Linked DNA regions of Struthio camelus. The protein of the gene in region 2 interacts with the protein of the main gene of each other region in a pairwise test. Links are inferred from orthologs where the notes say so. Each region holds a gene or a part of one and is shown on either strand. Other genes may lie near its edges.

Region 1 (8,142 bases), on a different chromosome or scaffold from region 2:
GTGTAAAAATACCTCATGTCAAGGTAGTCTTAGAGGGATCCAATTGTAAAACTGAAACAATTCAAGCAAATGTACAGGCATATGTCCCAGGCCTACCTGAAGATTACGTTTGCTTTTCCTTATGTTGTGTTGCAGCAAGAAGTTGTTTTCTATCAAAAATCGACTAAACTGATCATCAAGCTGTGACAGCAGGTCATGGAATAGCACTGTAGCAAAAGATACGTTGTTGGCTGCATGTTCCCTGGAATAATTTAAGGCATGCTTATGTTAAATACACTTTCAGCAGGTACTCAAGAAACACAAAGTGGTGTACTACATGTTTTTCTCCCTGACTCCAGTTGTAGTTTGCAAGCAGTAAGAATTACTTGTAAAGGTAACCCACTTTCATTCCCTTCTAATCTCATTTTCTGTGATAAAGAAATGCTGTCTTTTCCTCTATAGTATTCTCACCACATACCGTCTTAACTTCATTTACCCGTTCCATGAACATCAGGAAGCCTAAAGTGAACTTGATGCATGTGCATGTTGTACCACAGTCCTATAAGAAGACGCTCCATAAACATCTTGGTAAATGTTTAAAGCCAGCAACTAGCGAGAGACTAAGACACCAAGGTAACAGGTCTTTCTTAAAATGGCTGCTTCCATGACAGACCAACCAAAGGAAAAATAGGATAATATACTTAGTCTAAACATCAGGCCCCTCTCGAAAGCCCTGAAGAGGGACGGGAACATGGACTAGCAGAGATATAGCTACTGAACGTCCTTGCCAGCATAGGTCTACCTAGCAGCTTGCTTCCCCAGAACTTTTTTGCTGCCTGTGACTCCGCATGAGAGCACTGCTTGTCATGTAACCTGAAGGCCAGTTTCTATGCACATCACCACTGTCCTTCAGGCTTACCAGTCTTGGTTTTCCAGCCACTGAGCTAGGTACTGTCTAATTTCCATAGGAAAGCTGTCATCATACAGCTGGTGAACTTGCTCCAAAAACTTGGAATCAAGTTGCTGCAGCTGATACCACTGAGTCATCCTAGGGAAAAAAAATAAATCAATGTAAATAATTAATATTTGGACTTAGCTAGTGAAAAGTCACTCATTTAAAGTTCTCATTAAAAATGGTAAAATTGGATGAGCAGGAAGGAAAAGTGTTTTCAGTAAAAACATAGGTTTTTAGATGTAACAAGAGAAAGCTACTCATCAAACTGAATACAATTTTTCCATGCCCATTTTAATTTAAAAAAAATACAGCAAATTAAGACAGTCACCATACTATTTCATGACAAGTAAGTCAAAGTTCAATCACGTTTTATGGAAACTTGCATTTCTTTTTTCCTTTGAATCCATGTTCACAGCACTTAGGGTACTAGTAGTGTTATTCTCTATTCTTTCTTTCTTCCTTACCCCCTGTTAAGGGGGTATATCCCTAAATATGTATGAGCAGCTATGTGCCCTGTACCTGTACTCGGTAGGATCAAGATCCCATTTTCATCTGTGCAGATATTGTCCCTGCCAATCCCCAGAGGTGGAAGAAGTAACTGGAAAAGTAAAGAAACTTCTAGGGGCTCACTTTCAGGTACTACATGTGTCTCTACCTACCTGCTCTGAAAATGGCCTAGACCTCAGGTTGCTTTAAATGGAGACGTATTTGAAAGATATTCTCTTTGTATTATGCTTTAGTAGTTATGATCAGATTTTCAGGCTAAATTCAAGTCTCTGCAGTAGACATGGGTTATCTAGAATTAACTAGTATGACTGAGAGAAGCCATGCTGCGCAGTTAAGAGTTGTTATAGAGTGGCTGTTAGCTCTGATGTATGGACTCTTGCTGGAAAGCAGTTATCTCCTCCTTTCTGGTCTGCAGGTTAGTGTCTTGCAGTAGTGGCAGGTAAAGATATGTCCAGGGAATAGCTGTCAGGCTCAGGTGGAGACATGTAACCCCGCTTGCATCTGCAACCTCTTCAAAAAGGTGATAAGACTTATCCAAAGGACAATGTACACTCGGGGGTGAAGCAGTACCTTGTGTATGGGCTGTTGCCAAATCCATTAGTGTTTGTATGCCAGATCCCTCAACTGTAGAGTTGCATATAGCCTATGCGAGAGCAAGTGTAAGGTAAAAAATGCTATGATGTTTAAAGTAAGGGCTTTGGGGCTTTTTGGTGTGGGCAAGATTCCAACTCTAGAAAACACAGCAGTTAGTTTGAATATACTGTAGTTAATTTGAATATACTGTAGTGGCACCAAGGCCAACAATTAAAGCATGATACTGGTGAGGAAAGCTGGAAGGGGGTATCCAAATGCACAAAGTTTTTTTTCTTTCTTTCTTTTTAAAAGCACTGCTTAAATACTGCTATAAGGTACTCTAATCCTCCTGTGTCTTAAAGCAACCACATTGGACAGGGGCTTGGGAAGCCTGGCGGAGAACCCTCTGAATTGGGGGTTACAGAGCAACGTGATCACGTAGCAGGCGTGATCCTTGGAGAGGCGAGCAGGGAAACGCTCACGCGGGGAGGAAGTCGGTACCGCTCGGGGAGAAACGGTTAGCGAGACCCGTGGCAGGGCAGGGCAGGGGGGCTCAGGCCGGCCCTGGCAAACTGGCAGGGAGGAAAGGCTGCTTTGCTGCTTCACCTCCCCCGGGGCGGTCAGGGTGACCCAAGGGCAGCCGGCGTGCCTCTCTGCGGGCAGCAGGGCCCTGTCTCCCCGGCAGCCCCCGCCGCTGTGTGCGGCTTCGTGTCCCGCCGGCAGCCGCCCGCTCCCGCTGCGAGGCGACAGGGCTTCGCCCCCTCCTCGCCGGGCGCCGCGCTCGCCTTGTCACAACTCATGTTTAGTATCGTTTCTGGCTCTCCGGCTGACGGCCAGCGAAGCAGGCGCTCGCAGATGGGGGGCCGAGCGCAGGGCAGCCGTCCCGGCTGGCTGGGAGCCTGCACCCCCCTCCATCCCCCCCCCCCACCGCGGGCCGGGGGGCAGCGGCGGCAGTAGCCCCCTTCTCGCGCGACCCCCCTCCCCCGCGGCCGTTGGCCCGCACGCGCACACTTACTCGAAGACGAGGCTGCGCTCCAGCTCTGCACCGCGACGGCCACCCGTACCGAGAAATACTCGCAAAGCCGCAGCCCCACGGCCCGCCCGAGAGCCAATGGGAGCCTCGCTTTCGCCGCCCCGGCCAATGGGCTCGCGGTGCCGCCGCGCTCGCCCCGCCCCGCCCCCTGCCCTTGCCCTCTCGCTCTCGCAGCGGGGAGGCAGGGCGGTCCCGGGGCGGCTCCCCCGCCACCCCGGCCTGGGCCGGGCCGGGCGCTGCCGCCCTGACGGCTGTCGTCCGGGTGCCTGGCCAGCCGACTACCTGTGCAGAACTATGCCCAATCTGCGGGCCAAACACCAAATGCGCCGAGGTTTCGACCGCTTGCTGTGTGATGGAGCAGCAATGACGTTGCCAATAGTAGATGAAGCAGAAATACCGCGCGCAACGTCATTCTAGGGCACAGGCCTGCATTTTTCTTGATTTCTAGCTTTTGCAAAGAATATTAGCACAAAAAAAAAAGTTTAGAAGCGTAGCTGGATATATGTGAGAGAATATGCCAGCTAGGAGCAAGGAACGAAAAGGTGCGCGATGCCTACGGAAACCCGCATGAGTAAATATAACACGGGGAAGAGAAGCAAATGATACTGCAGGAAAGGTGGCCAACAGGAAGGAAGGTTAGGTGTCGGGAGTAACAGGCTGTAGGAAAAGACAGCCCCTGTCCTAGGAGGAAAGAGTGTAAAACTGACCCCGACCCAAGTTCCGACACGGAACGCGTGTGCATCCGCCTCCTTGGGGGGGGGGGGGGAGAGGGCGGCCGTTACCAACGGCCCCCGGCCGGGCGCGCGCCAGAGCGCAGGCGCGGCTCCCCGCGGCGGGGGGGGGCAGCGAGGCCCGGGAACAGCCGCGTCACGTGATTTCGGGGAACGGGCCGGCTGAGGGGAAGGCGAAAGCGAAAGGAGCGGCGGCGGCGGCGGGCGGCCGGCCGAGCCGGCGGAAGGGCAACGGTCTCGTCCGTCTCTTCGTGGAAGAAACGAACGTAACTGGCACAGGTCTGGTAGAAAGGCAGTCAGTTTATGAACTGCAGCCCAGTTTCCTATCTAAGTTGCAGTGACTTTTAAGAATGAGAGCTGCAAACAAAAGAGTGTTTATAATCTTTCCGGATATGTTGCCGGTTGGGATTCCCCGCTCTCCCCCCCTCCCCCCCCCCCAATGAATTGTTTTGGCAGTTTTCCTTTCCTCGTGCCCCTCTCTGTGCGAGCCGTTTTGTCTGTTAGGACTGCACTGCTCCCCCCGGTCGTGCCGGGTCTCGTTTGTTTCTGACCGGTTACAACCGCAGCTCAGGCTGTGGCGCCGGTCTCCAGCGGCGCAGACCTTTTTCTGGCTTAGTTTGGATCCCTTTCTCCTCAAAATGGAGGAAATGATATGAAGTCTTAAATCGTACCAAGTACTGTGTACAGATTTTTAATGCTATAGTTGATGGTAACTAGCAGTTTTCGTTTAACTTGAATCATGGTGATGTGGTCAAACACAAAGCACTTAGTGATTTTTTTTTCCTGTTGTTTTTGACTTTGCAGCTGCAAAACATGGTGAAAGCACTTGAAAGCACATGTTTCATCTTTTCTGTCAGTATCCAAGAATGTAATTTTCAACATTTTCTCATTCTATTTTATTAGAGCCCTAATCTTACTCATACTGACTTAAGGACAAAAGTCTTCCTTTTTATGGAAGAAGGCTTTGGCTTAAGATGTTTATCTTATAGAAGATGACTTCTGTGTTTCTTAAAAGCAGTGAACTGAATTGAAATTGCATGCATTCCAATGAAATGTTAAAGCTGCCTTTTGCAAAATTTTTAAAAGGACAACGAAAATAGTAATGCCAAAACCTGATCCTCAGTCCTATCCAGTAACATAAAAAGTGCTGAGTTCAAGTCAAGCCAGATAATTGCACTGCATGGGGGGCAAGGAGGAAGGAGAGAAGAGAAGATTGGTTCACATGTGACATTTGGACCACTAGACTTTTTCACAGTACTTTTCACACTATTCCAGTGATCAAAAGTATAGCACATTTCCCATTTTTTTTGGATTAAAATTGCGAGAACAGATTAGAATGAAAAATCATACAGTAGTTGATGCTAGGTGAAGTTATGTTTGCTACTTTAGAAGTCCACGTTACTGCTTGTAGTTTAGATTTAAGATCCGCAAGGAGAAAGCAAGCCTCTGTTTTCAATGCACCTTGAAAAATTCCACAAAAGACCAGGTAACTTTAAGCCGATATTTGTTTTTATTCATATCAGTCATATAAATTACAGAGGTTACCAAACTATATATACAGTTGCCATTCAATGAGCCTGTATACTTGAAAGACAGAGACCACAGAATTGCCAGTTTATTATTCTATAAACAGGCTTTTTTAGGGATAATATTGAAAAAAGAAAGTTAAACTGTGACTGCAAGAAAGAAGAATGTTTTTAAAAGGCAATTTACCATTTATTTAAAAACTAGTTACTCTGTTTATTAAAGGAGCCTCCCCCTGGCATGTGACACTCCATCATCTATTGCAGGTTGCCCCGTGGTCAGCAAATGACGCAGTTCTTCAGTAATTATTTTTTCAAACTGTGCTTCCTAGTCTGCATCTTACCAGATAGCATCCAAATACTGCGCCAGATCAGGATTTTCTTTGTAGGCTTCCTGATAGTGCTTACAATAGTATCTGAGTGCTTCACACCAATCGATTTACCTCTGCAACTATCCTGTGAGAGGGGGAGGTTTTACTAATCCTGTCTTCCAGGTGTAAAATGGAGACAGAGCGCTTTTTTGACTCCAAGTTTTGTGTCCGTTCACTTTCTAGAACTCCCTTCTCTTCCCAGCCTTGCCTTCCTCCCTTCCATGGCTTTTGCTGTGGTGGGATAAAAACCTCTGGCCCTCTGTGCTGAAGGTGGTTCATCTCTAGAAAAAACAAACCCCAGATACCTTTGGGACAATCAAACTCAGAGGGATGAGAATCTTCTCTTTAAAATAGAAGTCAAACCAACAGTATAATAGAAGCTGTTTGGCAGAAGAAATCCTAATCCACCCAAACCTTAATCTCTTTAGTTATCCCCATAGGCTGCTTTCAGGTGGTTCTCAGAAGCAAAACATTTTCTTATAATGTCATATTTACAGCAATCCTACAGCCGTTTATTTTACAAGTCAAATTTGTGCCTACTGGACCCCACAGAAGTCAAAGGACCTAGAAGCCAGAAAGGATTTGGCCTTCTATCAGCGAAGATGGCAATTCTGAATTCCAGGAAGCTATTTATAATCCCACTGACTCTACAGAGAAGATTCTTGGTTTACTTGTATTTGAAAGCAGAACAAGGCCCAAGAATAGCATCACAATCATTTTCAGGAAATGGTAATTTACAAAGATGATAAATATTGACTTCATTTAACCCATGCAGTGTCCACATGATTCTTTGTTTTTCCAGTACCTGAACTTCAGTCAGTTGAATAAGGAGAACTCAGCTAGAAGAAAAGAATAAAAATATCAGCCTCAAGACAGTTGCTGCTGCTCATTCAAAAGTTACTGCAAATCAAGCCCTCTCTGGCTCAAAGTAATTGCAGTCTCATTTGCACACTCTAATAAAAACTTGTAAGGCTCTGAAGATACCCCTTCTAATCCCTCACAAAACCTAGTAATATTCATTAGAAAAGACTTATTGGGAACAGTTGCAATAAAAGTACATGAACTTCTGTGGTTCTTGTAGCCCATGGATATGTAGAGCAAGGTTTTTCCTGAGTCCCATTTCCCAGATGGGTAGGAGAATCTAGAGGAGGGGAATGGAAAGGGAATCCAACAAGACTGCAGAAAGTATATCTTGCTAGGATCAAGTCACTGAGTTGTAAGATATTTTTTCCTGCCACAGCTTTCACTCTTGTTCTCTGCCTCTCAGACAGTGATCTCTTTCACTGACATCTCATGGAGAAAAAGTGAAGAGACACTGTCGCTTTAATAATGCAAACTGGCTGCTTACTGAACTTAGCCGGCTACTCACTAGCAGAGGTCATCATGTGTGAATTTGAGATGAATAAAGTAAAAAACTCCAAATTTCCCTCATTTTCATTCAGCAGAGTAATGGAAAAAAAAAAAAGTAGAAAATTGTCTTGAAATCTTCAAAGACTATTTTCTCCCCTAATTATTAGAAGAAAACGTATCTAGCAAGAGCCTCCAGAAATCCACCTACCATCTGGCAGCACTGAACTACTTCTCTAGTACCCTTAAATTGCAACATGATTACATTCGATTCTCCCAACTCAGCAGCAAACACTTTCTTTTTGTGACCCCAAGAGATGGTGCTGATCACAGCTGGTGGTTTGGAAGCTCCTCACAGAGCTGGTTTGAGAATTCCTGTGCATGCGAAAGGAAACTGAAAATGCTTGGTACCTGATGATAAACAAAAGTGAAGCCAACTATTCTTTTCACTGCCAAAACTTAAAGAAATGCAAACATACATATAGTTCACAAATGCAGTTTCTAAAGTCGGAACTGTTTTCATAGATATAAAACAAATGACAAACGGGTGAAGACATGTCTCAGATTGTGTGGTACGCAATCAGCTCTTCAGTTTGTTCTATAATAAAGAATTTCTCTACTTATACTTAAAGTTTCATTGTGCAGCCAAATAATTTTTGCTATTTATACCTCCTGCACTGATTAGACAATTGTTAGTCAGGATTCTGGTGTATCGTTTGTTTTATTGGGAGTGAGGAGAAATGTTTACACAGAAGTATTTGAAGGTGATTTGACAGGCTTTTAAATACATAACCAGTTTAAGATCATAAATCATAGAATATATTAAAAACTAAAAGTTAAAATGTAGTATTAAAAAAAAAAAATCAATATTTTCTTTTAAAGCTGCTAAGGCCAAACTACTGCTGTGTTTCCTGATATAATTCTGCTGGACAGATTCGCAGTGGGTATAAATTAGTGCCACTTTAAGCCATGATTATTTAGGCCAGTTCAGGCCTTGTAATTTGAAAGCTGAAATGATCTGTGCTGTAGAAGTGCAGAGTTGGGAATACAATTTCTAGTCAGTAAATAAAAAAACAAAATATTTTTAATATAACGTTGGTATGTTATTTCCCAAATCTTTCTA
Region 2 (7,878 bases):
GGGTCCCGGGGGGGGGGGCAGGTACCAGAGCCCCTGGCGCTGCAGGAAGCGGACGTGGTCGCGGAAGAGGACGAGGCGCATCTCGGCCTTCACCTTCTCGCCCTCCTCGATGGGGTCCACCAGCAGGAAGTCACCTGCGGGGGGGGGGGGGCAAGAGGGGACACGTTGGGGACACGCCGGGGCCGCGAGGGGAGGCGTTGGGGGGACACGTCGGGACCACGCTGGGGTGGCGTGACCAGGACAGCATCCCTTGGGGACGCGCCGCGGTGACAAAGCCAGGAGGTGACACACTGGGGACGCGTCGGGGACGTATCGGGGGGGGGCACGGCAGGAGCAGATACGTTGGGGACGCGTTGGAGACAGAGGAGCGCAAGGTGACCCGCGGCGGGTGACGGAGCCAGGAGGGGACACCTTGGGGACACGCCGGGGCCACCCGGGGCGGGAGGTGACACGGCGGGGACGCAGCGGCGGAGGCGCGCGGGCGCGAAGGGCCGCGTTGAGCTGCGCGGGCGCGAAGGGACCGGGCCGGGGAGCGCGTAGGGGGCCGGGTGGCTGCGAGGGGACGCGTTGGGGACGCGTCGGGGACGCGTTGGGGACCTCTCTTGATCCAGATGTGGCGGCGGAACTTGGGCGGCATGCTGACGAGGAAGCGGGCGCCCTCGGCCGTCTCCACCTCGTGCAGGTTGTTCCCCGGCGTCCCCAGCACCTGGGGAGGGGGGGGGGGACACGTCGGGGACCGCAGCGTCCCCCAGACCCCCTCCGTGTCCCCTGGGTGGCCCCTTGTCCCTCCTGTGCCCCCTCCTCCATGTCCCTGGGTGTCCCCAGGTGGTCTTTCCCCACCACCACCAAATGTCCCTGTGTCCCCATGTCCCCCCTGGGTGTCCCCGTCCCTCCTGGGTCCCTGGGTTCCCCCCCCCAGGTGTCCCTGTCCCCATGTCTCTCCGTGCCCCCCATGTCCCCCCCGGGTCCCCCCTGACTCTCCTGGGTCCCTGTGTCCCCCCCCCAGGTGTCCCTGGGGTGCCCCCCCCATGTTCCCTCTGGGTCCCCCTGACTCTCCTGGGTCCCTGTGTCCCCCCCCAAGGTGTCCTTGTCCCCATGTCTCTCTGTGCCCCCCCCGGGTCCCCCTGACTCTCCTGGGTCCCTGTGTCCCCCCCCCCAGGTGTCCCTGTCCCCATGTCTCTCCGTGCCCCCCATGTCCCCCCCGGGTCCCCCCTGACTCTCCTGGGTCCCTGTGTCCCCCCCCCCCAGGTGTCCCTGGGGTGCCCCCCCCATGTTCCCTCTGGGTCCCCCTGACTCTCCTGGGTCCCTGTGTCCCCCCCCCAAGGTGTCCTTGTCCCCATGTCTCTCCGTGCCCCCCATGCCCCCCCCGGGTCCCCCTGACTCTCCTGGGTCCCTGTGTCCCCCCCCCCCCCAAGGTGTCCCTGTCCCCATGTCTCTCTGTGCCCCCCCATGTCCCCCCTGGGTCCCCCCTGACTCTCCTGGGTCCCTGTGTCCCCCCCCCCAAGGTGTCCCTGTCCCCATGTCTCTCCGTGCCCCCCATGTCCCCCCTGGGTCCCCCCTGACTCTCCTGGGTCCCTGTGTCCCCCCCCCCAGGTGTCCCTGGGGTGCCCCCCCACGTCCCCCCTGGGTCCCCCTGACTCTCCTGGGTCCCTGTGTCCCCCCGCCCAAGGTGTCCCTGTCCCCATGTCTCTCTGTGCCCCCCCATGTCCCCCCTGGGTCCCCCTGACTCTCCTGGGTCCCTGTGTCCCCCCCCCAGGTGTCCCTGGGGTGCCCCCCCACGTCCCCCCTGGGTCCCCCTGACTCTCCTGGGTCCCTGTGTCCCCCCGCCCAAGGTGTCCCTGTCCCCATGTCTCTCTGTGCCCCCCCATGTCCCCCCTGGGTCCCCCTGACTCTCCTGGGTCCCTGTGTCCCCCCCCCAACCCCCACCCACGGTGTCCCTGCCCCCAGGTGCCCCCCCCCAAGTGTCCCCATGTCCTTTTTGTTGCTCTACCACATCCCTGGGTCCTCTTGTGTCCCCAAGTCCCCTAATATCCCCGGGTCCCCTCGTGTCCCCCCCCCCAGGTGCCCCCATTCCCCCCCCCAGGTCCCCTCATGTCCCCTCTCAAGACCCCCCCCCGTCTCCCCATCTCCCGTGTGTCCCCGCTGCGTGTCCCCACCCCCCCGTGTCCCTGTGTCCCCTTGTGTTCTCCTGCGTGTCCCCCATGCCGTGTCCCCCCATGTCCCCCCGGGTCCCCCCACCGTGTCCCTGTGTCCTGCCATGTCCCCTTGTGTGCTCCTCTGTGTCCCCAACACCCCCAGGTCCCCCTGGCCCCCCCCGGGTGTCCCCACCCCAGGTCCCCCCAGGTGTCCCCATCCTCCCCGTGTCCCCATGTCCCTGGGTCCCCTCGTGTCCCCCCCCCCCGGGTCCCCCCATGTCCTCACCCCGTGTCCTGCCGTGGCCCCAGGTCCCCCCGTGTCCCCTCCCGTGTCCCTTCGTGTCCTCATCCTCCCATATCCTGCCGTGTCCCCCCCCGTCCCGCCTTGTCCGTCCCCATGTCCTCACCCCCCCCCATGTCCCGCCCTGTCCCCCCAGGTCCCCTGGTGTCCTCACCCCCCGGGTCCCCCCGTCCCCCCCCGTGTCCCCCTATGTCCCACCGTGTCCCCCCCAGGTCCCCTCGTGTCCCTCCGGTGTCCCCACCCCCCCGGGTCCCCTGGTGTCCCCCCATGTCCTCACCCCCCCCCCGTGTCCCCCCATGTCCTCACCCCCCCCGTGTCCCCCCGGGTCCCCCCGGGTCCCCCTATGTCCCACCGTGTCCCCCCCCGTGTCCTCATCCCCCTGTGTCCCCCCAGGTCCCCCTATGTCGCCCTGGGTCCCCCCGTGTCCTCACCCCCCGGGTCCCCCTATGTCCCCCCGGGTCCCCGTGTCCCCCCCCGTGTCCTCACCCCCCCGGGTCTCCCTATGTCCCCCCGGGTCCCCCCGGGTCCCCGTGTCCCCCCCCGTGTCCTCACCCCCCGGGTCCCCCTATGTCCCCCCGGGTCCCCCCGGATCCCCGTGTCCCTCCCCGTGTCCCCACCCCCCCGGGTCCCCCCGGGTCCCCCCCCCCCCCGCTCACCCGCACGATGCGCTGTCGCGGCGACGGCACCACCCGCTCGTCCAGCACCTCCCGCGCCACGTGCTTCCGCTTGGTGGCCTGCGACATGCCGGACGCCTGGGCCCGCCGGGACGCCTGGGTCCCTCCTCTGTCCCCCTCCCCCGCCCCAGTAGCGGCGGGGGGGCCCAGGCGTCCGGGCTGCCCCCCTCCCGCCGCGCCCCGCCGCTTCCCACCTCTCACCGCATGGGAGTCCGCCACTTCCGGGTGCACCGCCCTCTGGCGTCACTTCCGGAGACACCGGCTCCTCCCCCCCGGTCCTCCTCTCTATGGTGGTTTCTGACAGGCCGCTGCGTCTCGCCGCGGGAACCTCCCGCGGGCTAGAGCGGCGCCGCGCACCACAGAGTCGCGGCGCCGTCGCCCTAGAGCGCCCGCGGCGACCGCGTTGCTAGGCAGCCGCCGCCTCTCTATGGTCGCTTCCGGGCGCGCCTAGAGCGGTCGCCGGCGGCGGGTGCACTTCCGGCGTGGCCGGAAGTGACGGCAGCGCGCAGGCGCGCGCAGCGGCCAGTTGGGCGGGAGCGGCGGTTGACAGCGGCGGGCGGCGCCGGTGAGGGCGGGGGGGGGTCCGGAGGCTCCCTGGGGGGGGTCTTTAGGGCTTGGGAGGTGCGTGTGGGGAGCTGGGGAGGGCTCTGGGGCTGTAGGGGGCTCTGGAGGGTCCTTGGAGGGGTCTATGGGGCTGAGGGAGCTTAGGGGGTCTTTGGGGGGGGTCTATGGGGTTGAGGGGGCTCTGGGGGTCCTTAGGGGGGGTCTATGGGGCTGTAGGGGGCTCTGGGGGGTCCTTAGGGGGGTCTAATGGGGCTGAGGGAGCTCTGAGGGGTCCTTGGGGGGATCTATGGGGCTGAGAGAGCTCTGGGAGGTCCTTGGGGTGGTCTATGGGGGTTGAGGGGGCTCTGGGGTGTTCTTAGGGGGTCTATGGGGCTTTGGGGGGTTCTGGGGGGTGCTTAGGGAGGGTCTATGGGGCTGGAGGAGGCTCTGGAGGGTCCTTAGGGGGATCTATGGGGCTGGAGGGGGACCTGGGGGGTGCTTAGGGGGTTCTATGGGGTTGAGGGGGCTCTGGGGGTGCTTAGGGGGGTCTATGGGGCTGGAGGGGGCTCTGGAGGGTCCTTAGGGGGATCTATGGGGCTGGAGGGGGACCTGGGGGGTGCTTAGGGGGTTCTATGGGGCTGAGGGGGCTCTGGGGGTGCTTAGGGGGGTCTATGGGGCTGGAGGGGGCTCTGGAGGGTCCTTAGGGGGATCTATGGGGCTGGAGGGGGACCTGGGGGGTGCTTAGGGGGGTTCTATGGGGTTGAGGGGGCTCTGGGGGATTCTTGGGGGGGTCTATGGGGTTGAGGGGGCTCTGGGGGTGCTTAGGGGGGTTCTATGGGGTTGAGGGGGCTCTGGGGGTGCTTAGGGGGGTCTATGGGGCTGGAGGGGGCTCTGGAGGGTCCTTAGGGGGGTCTATGGGGCTTTGGGGGGCTCTGGGGGGTGCCTAGGGAGGTCTGGGGGGCTGTAGGGGGCTCTGGAGGGTCCTTGGGGGGGTGTGGGGCTATAGGGGGCTCTGGAGGGTCCTTGAGGGGGTCTATGGGGCTGAGGAATCTCTGAGTGGTCTTTTGGGGGGGGTCAATGGGGCTAGAGGAGGCTCTGGGCGGTGCTTAGGGGGGTCTGTGGGGCTGAGGGGGCTCTGGGGTGTCTTTAGGGGGTCAATGGGGCTGGAAGGGGCTCTGGGGGGTCCTTAGGGGGATCTATGGGGTTGAGGGGGCTCTGGGGGGTTCTTGGGGGGGTCTATGAGGCTGGAGGGGGTTCTCGGGGGTCTTTGGGGGGGTCTGTGGGGGTCTATGGTGATTGCGGAAGCCTATGGGGCTGTGGGGGACTTCTTGGGGGCGGTCTGTGGGGCTGGAGGGGTTGTAGGGCAGTTTTTGGGGTGTCTATGGGTCCGGGGGGGCTCTGGGGGTCTTTGGGGGGTCTCTGGGGCTTGAGGGGGCTCTTGGGGGGGTCCCATGGGTTTCGGGGGGCTCCCAGGGAGTCTCGGGGGGGGCTGTTTGTGCCCCCCCCCCGGGGCCCCTGCTGCAGCTGCGCTGGGGTATTTATAGCCGGGGGAGGGGCGGGATCGCCTGGGCCCCTGCTGGGGGGGGGGAGGGTCAGGATCGCCTGGGCCCCTGCACGGGGTGGGGGGGGGGGAGAGGGGACAACGCTGCCTCCTCCAGCCCCGGGGGCACCTTTGTCCCCCCCCCCGGGGCTGCCGCTGTCCCCACATTGTCCCCCCCCCCCCCCCCGAGCTGCCCGGTCCCTGTCACCATCCGCGTCCCCGCGTCACCCCCCCCCCCCCGCGGTCTGTCCCCGTCGCTCCTGGGGGCCGTCCCATCCCCCCCCCCCCGTCCCCAACGCGGTGGCACCGTCTGTGTCCCCCCCCCCGCCGGCAGGGCGAGCCGAGATGTCCTCGACGTCGCAGAAGCACCGGGACTTCGTGGCGGAGCCCATGGGCGAGAAGCCGGTGGGGACGCTGGCCGGCATCGGGGACGTGCTGGGCAAGAAGCTGGAGGAGAAGGGCTTCGACAAGGTGGGGACACCCTGGGGACACCGCGGGGACACCCTGGGGACACCACGGGGACCGTGGGGGGTGGCTGTGGGGTTGGGGACACCGCTGGGGACGCTGGCCGGCATCGGGGACGTGCTGGGCAAGAAGCTGGAGGAGAAGGGCTTCGACAAGGTGGGGACACCGCGGGGACACCCTGGGGACACCACGGGGACCGTGGGGGGCGGCTGTGGGGTTGGGGACACCGCTGGGGACGCTGGCCGGCATCGGGGACGTGCTGGGCAAGAAGCTGGAGGAGAAGGGCTTCGACAAGGTGGGGACACCGCGGGGACACCCTGGGGACACCACGGGGACCGTGGGGGGTGGCTGTGGGGTTGGGGACACCGCTGGGGACGCTGGCCGGCATCGGGGACGTGCTGGGCAAGAAGCTGGAGGAGAAGGGCTTCGACAAGGTGGGGACACCGCGGGGACGCCCTGGGGACACCGCGGGGACACCCTGGGGACACCACGGGGACCGTGGGGGGCGGCTGTGGGGTTGGGGACACCGCTGGGGACGCTGGCCGGCATCGGGGACGTGCTGGGCAAGAAGCTGGAGGAGAAGGGCTTCGACAAGGTGGGGACACCGCGGGGACACCCTGGGGACACCACGGGGACCGTGGGGGGTGGCTGTGGGGTTGGGGACACCGCTGGGGACGCTGGCCGGCATCGGGGACGTGCTGGGCAAGAAGCTGGAGGAGAAGGGCTTCGACAAGGTGGGGACACCCTGGGGACACCGCGGGGACACCCTGGGGACACCACGGGGACCGTGGGGGGCGGCTGTGGGGTTGGGGACACCGCTGGGGACGCTGGCCGGCATCGGGGACGTGCTGGGCAAGAAGTTGGAGGAGAAGGACTTCAACAAGGTGGGGACACCGCGGGGCCACCCTGGGGACACCACGGGGACGCCCTTGGGGCCACTGTGGGGACGCAGAGGTGGGGACACCGCAGGGCCACCCTGGGGTCACCCTCGGGGCCACTGCGAGGACATCGGGGACATTGCAGAGACGTGGGGGGGGGTGAGGTTGGGGACACCAGTGGGGGACGTTGGCTGCTATTGGGGACGCGCGAGGCGCGGAGGGGTGTCCTGAGCGTCAGAGGGTCCCCAGGGTGTCCCTGGGGGCTGTCAGGGTGTCCCCAAGATGTCTTTGGGGTGTCAGGGTGTCCCTGGGGGGGGCGTCGGGGTGTTCCCAGGGGGTGTCGGGGTGTCCCTAGCGTGTCAGGGTGTCCCCAGGGGGTGTTGAGGTGTCCCTAGCATGTCAGGGTGTCCCCAGGCGGTGTCCCCAGGGGGTGTCGGGGTGTCCCTAGCGTGTTGGGGTGTCCCCAGGGGGTGTCAAAGTGTTCCTAGCGTGCCGGGGTGTCCCCAGGGTGTCCCCAGGGGGTGTCGAAGTGTCCCTAGCATGCCGGGGTGTCCCCAGGGGGTGTCGGGGTGTCCCCAGGGGGTGTTTAAGTGTCCCTAGCATGCCGGGGTGTCCCCAGGGGGTGTCGGGGTGTCCCCAGGGGTGTCAGGGTGTCCCCAGGGTGTCCCCAGGGGGTGTCAGGGTGTCCCCAGGGGGTGTCAAGGTGTCCCTAGCATGCCGGGGTGTCCCCAGGGGGTGTCGGGGTGTCCCCAGGGGGTGTCAAAGTGTCCCTAGCATGTCGGGGTGTCCCCAGGAGGTGTCGGGGTGTCCCCAGGGGGTGTCGGGGTGTCCCCAAGGGGTGTCAAGGTGTCCCTAGCACGCCGGGGTGTCCCCAGGGGGTGTCCCCAGGGTGTCCCCAAGAGGCAGGGTGCCCCCCGCCCGTGACGCCTGTCCCCCCCCCGCCAGGCCTACGTGGTGCTGGGCCAGTTCCTGGTGCTCAAGAAGGACGAGGAGCTTTTCCGCGAGTGGCTCAAGGACACGTGCGGCGCCAACGCCAAGCAGTCGCGCGACTGCTCGGGCTGCCTGCGCGAGTGGTGCGACGCCTTCCTCTGAGCCCCCCCAAGCCCCCCGAAACCTCCCCCCTGCTGCCCCCCCCACCCCGGGGCTCCCCCCCAAACCTCCCCCCCGGGGCCCCCGAACCTCCTCCCAGGTGCCCGCAGATCTCCCCGAAAGCCACTCTGGGAGTCTCGCTGTCCCTCTCCGGAGCAGACGGGATGCCCCAAAACGTTATTGGGGACCCCAGAAGTCTCTTGGGGTCCCCAAAAGTCTCCTGGGGACCCCAAAAGCCTCCTGGGGGTCCCCA

The links. The genes of interacting proteins can lie anywhere in the genome.
Region 1: the proteins of EIF1AD (region 2) and STAT1 interact in binary tests that used the Homo sapiens proteins (3 or more experiments, as listed by UniProt). The two-hybrid records come from large-scale screens. The link is inferred for Struthio camelus from reciprocal best matches to the Homo sapiens genes EIF1AD and STAT1.

What each region holds. Positions count from the first base shown.
Region 1 is NC_090947.1:14,434,414-14,442,555, reverse strand, and holds the start of STAT1 (signal transducer and activator of transcription 1-alpha/beta), read right to left. Parts: upstream 3,212-8,142; 5' UTR 3,030-3,211; intron 2,085-3,029; exon of another isoform or gene 2,012-2,084; intron 1,028-2,011; 5' UTR 1,027-1,027; coding exon 899-1,026; intron 242-898; coding exon 97-241; intron 1-96. Other genes in the region: STAT4 (signal transducer and activator of transcription 4), read right to left, coding at 6,485-6,511. UniProt on the Homo sapiens protein: Signal transducer and transcription activator that mediates cellular responses to interferons (IFNs), cytokine KITLG/SCF and other cytokines and other growth factors.
Region 2 is NC_090976.1:755,349-763,226, forward strand, and holds the start of EIF1AD (probable RNA-binding protein EIF1AD), read right to left. Parts: upstream 3,452-7,878; 5' UTR 3,312-3,451; exon of another isoform or gene 3,305-3,311; intron 3,299-3,304; exon of another isoform or gene 3,189-3,298; 5' UTR 3,180-3,188; coding exon 3,093-3,179; intron 707-3,092; coding exon 598-706; intron 135-597; coding exon 26-134; intron 1-25. Other genes in the region: BANF1 (barrier-to-autointegration factor), read left to right, coding at 5,539-5,664, 7,482-7,628.